2 linked regions of the Canis lupus familiaris genome follow. The protein of the gene in region 2 interacts with the protein of the main gene of each other region in a pairwise test. Links are inferred from orthologs where the notes say so. Each region holds a gene or a part of one and is shown on either strand. Other genes may lie near its edges.

Region 1 (3,648 bases), on a different chromosome or scaffold from region 2:
GAAAGGAACAAAAATTGGCAAAAAGTTTAAGAACATGTTCAATTCTCTTCAGCCACTCTTGGCTTTTCTTTTTCCAAAATGAAACTGAAGAGAGCCTATAATAATGAGAACATTTCTAGGCCACAGGACACTTGATTAGTTTGCTTGCCTGCTTGCACCAAGGAATTCCAGTCACAGAGTTTATCAACAGGCAGCTAATCTATTTCCATTTTTTTTTGCCAATTATATCTAGTTACATTTACAATATAAGAAACCGTTGAGTGTTTCTCTAGTAAATTATATCTAGTTACATTTACAATATAAGAAACCACGTTGAGTGTTTCTCTATTAAGTTGGAATATTTGGGAATCTGGTGAACTGAAAGATTGGAGCAAGGCAAAAATCTAGTAAAGTTGGAAGATTTGGGAATCTGGTGAACTGAAAGATTGGGGCAAGGCAAAAATCTCTGAATTTATACAAACTTCCAATATAAACTTACCTTCTGTTTTCTGTAGTATCTTGTATTGATGCCACAGTTTGCTGTTTGTCAATTAAGAGTTCAAAATTACTAAGAAAATGGCATTTCCCCTTTAGAATGCACCCTTACTCAGGGCCTGAGTTACACTTTTGAAAAGAATATATCACATATGTTCTATTTTAGCAAAATCTGACCTTTTCCATTTAGCTACTGCAAAAACTTGGGAATGAAAGGATGAATTGATCACTAGTATGAAACCAAACAGCTTTGAGGGAAAAAGCTAAGTCAAAAAATGTAAACATGAAAAAAAATTTTAAAAAATGTAAACATGCAAATAAAACCTACATTATGAAATACTGTCAGACTGGCATATTTTAAGTTTATAGGAACATAATTAAAAATTACAGTAGAAGAAACTTTTATCTATGGACTGTATAAAATGAGTATTTTTACATTTTATTCTGTAAGCAGGATATATTATCGATATTTTGTTTAAAGCACTTTAAATAATACTTGGATCTGCTAAAAAGACCAGGTAATAATTTGAAAATAATCAGAGGATTTTGAAATCATCCACATTAGTTTTTTTCCCACACTACTTTTTGACTAAGAAACCAAATTAATCGTGCTATCATTTCTCAAATGAAAAAATCAAAAGGCCAAGACAGAAGGAAAGGGTACCTTCTCCATGTCGGTCAGTATACTGGAATGCTTGAACCAAACGCAGTGTTTCATCCACTGATCTACCAACTGGGAGGTCATTCAGAGTAATCTGTCTTAGGATTCCTTTGTCATCAATAATGAAAAGACCTCTGTAAAACACAAGAGTGGTACAGGTGAGGTCATTTCATCTCAATTAAGACAAATATTAGTTAATCTGAATCACTGTGCCATCCACACAGAAGGATGTTATACAGAACCAACAACACATTACCTGTTTGGTGTGCACACATGCAAATACAACCCCCTGCCCAAACCCACTCTTACCTACTGTATAACTTGGGATTATCATTGTTAAATGGTAGCTTTAAAAATTTGTTTTTGTCTATGAAATGTACTGTTGTATTTCCATTTAATTCTTCACAAGTACTAGGTTTGGGATTTTAATGCACTGTAAATGAAATGATGAATCTATATAGCAAAGTCTACCTTTGGGTGAAGGAGTGATCCACCTTTCTTATCACTGGCTATTTAGAACATCTTTGTATTTCCTTTTTCAGAGGTGGAAAAGACAAAGTCACCAATATAAGCGAAGTTACCTTTCTCTTTAAATCTGTGTATTTACTCTATGGCCTAGGGAATAATGGAGCAGTTTAACTTAAAAGAGCTGCTATACTGAGATAGCATGGCAAGAGTTAAAGCAGACCAGAAAAAAACAAAAACTACCAAAGGACTTTACTGTTTTTATTTCAGTCAATATGGATTTCAACCTAACACTTGGTTTAGAAAAAGATCTCAGGTACTAGGGCTAATTGCTTATGAGAATTATAAATAATAATGAGATCTATTTTTAATAGAAATACATGGAATTACAAATCTATTACATGAAATTTTGTTTCATAATCACATTAAACATTATAAAGTGTTTTTGCTTATCCTACAAAATATTTCTTTAATGAGCACCATGATGTCTGAACTAACTAGAGCTCACTTTCCTTGGACTAGGTCAACTTGGCCAAACTTGGGCAAAACTGTAAACTATTACTCATATGGGTTTTCTTTGATGTAGCTACTTTTACCAGTAGAAAATGGTTGTTAATGCTGATGAAGTCTGTTCCGAAGTTAAGTGAGTCTGATTTGAAATTGTGAACTTACTTCTGTAACATACATCGTACCAACACACACCCTTGGGCACCTGGGTGGCTCAGTCGGTTAAGCAGTTGACTTTTGATTTCGGCTCAGGTCACGATCTCGGGGTTACATGGTTTTTACTTGGTTAATGTTCAGATAATTTGAAAGTTCATTTTAATTCTATTTTTTAAAGATTTTATTTATTCATGAGACACACATGGGGGGGGGGCAGAGACATAGGCAGAGGGAGAAGCAGGCTCCACGCAGGGAAGCCTGATGTGGGACTCAATCCCAGCACTCTGGGATCATACCCTGAGCCAAAGGCAGATGTTCAACTGCTGAGCCACCCAGGCGTCCCTAATTCGAAATTTTAAAATAGCTTCAGTCTTTTTAGTGGCATACTTCCTCTTTGGGAATTAACTTAGTAATAAATTTTATGAAAAGAGACTAGACATTAAAGACTTGGCAAGCACAAAAAAAGAAACTATTGGTAGTGACATGATAAAATATGAATGAGCCTTGAAAACATTATGCTAAGTGAAAAGAGGCTGGTCATAAAAAAGCACATATTGTAGGATTCCATTTAAATGAAATGTCCAGAATCGGCAACCATAGAGACATAAAGGAGGTAAGTAGTGGGCCAGGGCCAGGGCAGGGGGATTGGGGGAAAGGGAGAGTAACTGCTAATGGGTATGGGGTTTCTTTTTAGAGTAATGAAAATGTTTTAAAATTGATTGTGGTGATGATTGCACAACTCTCTAGCTGTACTAGAAACCACTGAATTGTAGGCTTTATTTTTTATTTATTTTTAAAAAAGATTATTTATTTATTTATTCATAGACACACACACACACAAAAAGAGAGAGAGAGAGAGAGGCAGAGGGAGAAGCAGGCACCATGCAGGGAGCCTGATGTGGGACTTGATCCAGAGTCTCCAGGATCACGCCCTAGGCTGCAGGCGGCGCTAAACCGCTGTGCCACTGGGGCTGCCTGAATTGTAGGCTTTAAATGGGTGAGTTGTATGTAAATTATCTCAATAAAATTGTTATTAAAAAACATAGGCCTATAAAATACTGGTAGTTTCACATAAAACATTAAAAAAGAAATTATTAGCACTGCATTTTGATAATATAATAAAATTACAATTGTTTTAAGCTAAAGTTATCCTTTTTTCAAAGACTTCTATTGGCACTTCCTTAATTTTTCCCACTCCCCACAGCACAAGTTTGCTAAATAATATAATAATTGTACTTAGAAAAACCATTACTGGAGTCATTTTAGAGAAAAGGAGAAAGAAACAGGCAAGGAGTTTTGGTACCTGGCTTCAAGTGTAGGCTCTGTCATTAATTATGTAACTTTGGTTAAGTTCATGGAATTCTATGAAATTGTTTATCTGTAAA
Region 2 (3,748 bases):
CATGTCACAAAGCCCCCGGGCAGTGGCCCAGCAGGAGTGGGCTCAGCTGGAAGGCCAGCCACACCCCGGTCAGCCTGGGAACCCTAGGGAAGGCATCTAGCCAGCATTTCTCTGCTGGAACAGGGGGAAGCTGTGTTCCTTCAGCCCCCTGCCCTCCCGCACCGGGTAAGGCGTGGGCAGGGGCTGGAAGAAGGGTGGGTGGGAGAGGCAGCCAGGCAAAGCCTTACTTAGCCCACTCTCTGGGTGAAGGTATGTCATTTCTCCAACCTGGCACTTCTGGGAATATTCCCAGGCACAGCCCAGCCTTTGCAAAGCCCCCTCTCCTCCTCCCCCCACGGTGCCTGGGAAGGACATCCTGAAAATGGAAGAGGAGTCGAGACTGAAGGCCCAGCTGCTAAGCAAGAGGCCTAAGCAGCCCCGAGCCTGTCCCCCATCCCTGCCCCCACCCGACACACTGAACAAAGGCTGCAGCTCCCACGCGCACCCCAGTCCTGCCATCTGGGGATGGGCACCCACTCGGCACCGCCTGGGATGCTCCCAAAGGCAAAAAGGAAGGGAGCCCTGGCCCTCCTCAGCAATCCCCAGTTCCCCAGGGGATCAAGTAGCCGGGCTCCAGACCTTTAAAGGCTGTACACCGGAGGGAAGCCGAATAGGGGCAGGAAGGAGGAGAGAACAGGCCCCCTAGACTTCCAGGAGAATGGACAGTCCCTAAGAAGAATTTCTCTGCTACCCCCAAAGCATTGCCTCTTGTTAGTTTTATAAGAGAACTCTGAGTCCAGCAGACTCGAGGTGGCCATACAGGGAGGAGCCTGTTGGCGGGAGGTGGGCAGATGGAAGCCATCCTGCCCCCGCCTGGGTCCCTCCACGAAGGAGTTTCTGGGCCCTGAATAACCCAGGCGCTCAGGCAAAGAGGGTTGGTTACACCCTCAATCATGAGCGGCCTGAAGGGGCAGAGACAGCACCACTTAGAAGGAGATCCTCAAGTTTGCAGACCCGTGGCAAACTAGCGCAGAGGCGGCCCCGGGACGGGTTCCCATCCCATGTCCACCCCTGGGGTCTGCACGGCTCTGGCCCTCCCAGCCAGGGCCGGGGGGGGGGGGGGGGGGGGGGGGGGGGCGGGGCAAGAAAGCAAGCTGGAACACAGAGTGCCACGATCAAGGGAACAGAGAGAGGGGGCAAAGGCTGGCACCACCTCCTGGCCAAGAGCCCGGGGAGGGGGGGGGCGAGGGGGGGAACGTCCTCTGGGTCCAGCCCTCTCCCACCTCCACGGGCGACGCACCCCTGGCCTGACACTGCCACAACCGGCCGGGGGCCACACAGCCCCTCAAGCTCTGCACCAGCCACCCGGTAGTGCCCACCCGCCCGCCCGCAGGCATACGCGGCACCTGCAAGAGATAAGAGTGGCCACGTCTTCCAGCGCTAGGACAGCCGGGGCAGGGATGGGTTTGGGGTGGAGAAGAGGTAGCAGCCACCTGGAATAAGGCTGGGTGTTCCAGCCTTATTCAAATCCTGTTTCTCCACTTGGACATCCCACATCCGGATCAACCCCCACCAACCTGTCCTCCCCCTCCACCCCCCTCGGCGCAGGTACTTAACTACAGCAGATATGGACCTGCATCCAGCGTCAAGGGGGTGGGGGAGAAGCAGTCCCCCAGGGAGGAGGAAGAGGCGGGGCTGGAGGAGGGAACAGGGAGGATCCGGCTTCAGGCAGGTCCTGGCAACAATGTGGTTTGCACCTGTTATGCTGAACAAGCTGCGGGCTGCACCCTACCTGTAGGATCCAACGGGGACTGGGGGGAGGGGGGCACGGGTGTGACCGGGCTGTGGGGCTGTGGGGGGTGTCCTTCAGGTACTACACCAGGGACTCCAACATGAGCAATTCTCACTCGGGATCCCCAAGGACCAAGATTTCCACACCTCTCTCTCTCTCTCCTCTGTCCGCACCCGCCCCCACGCCCCACAGGATCCAAGACACCTCTTAACCAATCTTCCCGGTGCTTCCCAGACCCTGCCTCTAAGAAGACTGAGTGGAACACCAGCAGCCCCCCTCCACAGCTCAGCCAAGCCCCCCATGCTGGCCACTTCCTCCAGCAATCCAGAAGTCTCCTAACACCGCTCAGGCACCAACTTCGGGGATCCCTGCAAACTAAGCCACAGCCTCTAACGTGTTAAGAAAACAACTAAAGGAACGAGGGGTGGGGGAGGAGGCCGACCAGCCGGGGAGGAAGGAGACCCTTTTGGAAACCCAGAGCTGGCAGGAGTCCCGCGGATCCTTGCAACTCAAGTTCTGGGGATCTTCCCCCCCATACACACACACACACACCCCGCCCCACTGTACCGAGAGCCCATCAGCACCTCGGTCCGGGGCGCCCTGGGCCACTCGGGCACCCAAGTGGGGGGGGGGGCGCTGAACCACAGGCAGCCTCGTCCCCAGCAAGTCCCCACTCCCGGTGCCAACTCCAACTCCACCCCACCCCCCCCCCGCGGCTTCCACCTGGCTTCCACCTTGCACCTCTCGGGCGCCCGGGGGCTGGAGTGCGGCCCGGGTCGTGCCCCCGCTGCAAGCGCTCCCCCCGACGCCCGGGCTGCACCCAGCGCCCGCGCCCCTGCACGCCGACCCCACAACATCCTTTCTGCCCGCGCGGACGGCCGTCTCCCCCATGCAACACCCCGAAAGCCGGGGCTGGGGCGCACGCTCCCCGCGGGGCACCTACCCGGCGGCTCCGCTCCGCCCGCCCGTCCGTCCCGCGTGTGCGCTCCCGGCCGCGCGCTCCGGGCTCCGCAGCCTGTGCCGCTGGGGCTCCCCGGCGCAGCCCGACCCTCCTCTTAAGCGCTCCGTGACGCACGGCGAGGGGCGGGGGCGCCACTGACGCACGCGGCCCGGCGAGCTGTGGCCATACAAGGGCGCGGGGGGCGGCGCGGTTCCGGCGGGAGGCGGCGGGGGGAGGCGCGGGCCGGGGAGCCCGGGGGGCGGGGCGAGAGGCTGGAATGTCTGCGCGCGTGACGCACGCGGGGTTCCATTGACGCAGGGAGCGCGGATTGTTTGATCTATAAATAGTCCCCGCGCGCCCGCCGCGCCCGCTAAAAATAGCAGCTCGCGGACTCCCGAGGCTCCCCCCGCCCCGCGCGCCCCGGGCCGCGCCACCCCGAGGAGGGGGCGCTCTAGAGCCGCGGCCGCGGGGCTTCCCCGGGCTGAGCTCCCTGCAGCGCCCGCTGCTCCGCCTTCGCAGCCGCGCAGCCTCCCCGGAGGCCTGGGGCGCACCTCGGGGCGCACCCCGCCCCCCCCCGCAGCCTGCGCCCCTCCAGCCCGCGGCGCAGCGCGGCCACTTACTCCCCAGCAGCAGGGTCACCGGGTCGTCTGAGCCTCGAGCCCCCCTCCCCCCGCTTGCCTCCGCCCCCTACTCTCCCACGCAGGGCACCTTCCGAGGGCAGGCGTTGGCCGGTGGGCCCCGCTCCACGCGCTGGCCCTGATCGCTTCCCAGTCCCTTCCAGGGTGGGTGCGCTGCAGCTGGGAAATGACCGAATTTCAGAACCGGGCGGGGCCTGAGAAATCTGGTCAAATTTGTGCCGACTCTTTTTCCCCATTTTATAAATAAACAAGCTCGGAAATGATGGCACTTGCTCAAGGTCACACGGCGAGGTGGTGGCACACGCTGCCCCCCCCCCCCAGGGCCTCTCACTGCATCTCTAGGGGATCTTCTCACGCCCTCCCCTGACCACCTGTGGAGAGGGTAGCCTCGACCTGCCC

The links.
Region 1: the proteins of NR4A1 (region 2) and PRDX4 interact in a two-hybrid assay, tested with the Homo sapiens proteins (2 studies listed by BioGRID and IntAct). The link is inferred for Canis lupus familiaris from reciprocal best matches to the Homo sapiens genes NR4A1 and PRDX4.

The regions. Positions count from the first base shown.
Region 1 is NC_049260.1:19,457,569-19,461,216, reverse strand, and holds part of PRDX4 (peroxiredoxin-4), read right to left. Parts: intron 1,270-3,648; coding exon 1,139-1,269; intron 520-1,138; coding exon 479-519; intron 1-478. UniProt on the Homo sapiens protein: Thiol-specific peroxidase that catalyzes the reduction of hydrogen peroxide and organic hydroperoxides to water and alcohols, respectively.
Region 2 is NC_049248.1:43,697,745-43,701,492, reverse strand, and holds the start of NR4A1 (nuclear receptor subfamily 4 group A member 1), read right to left. Parts: upstream 2,779-3,748; 5' UTR 2,715-2,778; intron 1-2,714. UniProt on the Homo sapiens protein: Orphan nuclear receptor. Binds the NGFI-B response element (NBRE) 5'-AAAGGTCA-3'. Binds 9-cis-retinoic acid outside of its ligand-binding (NR LBD) domain.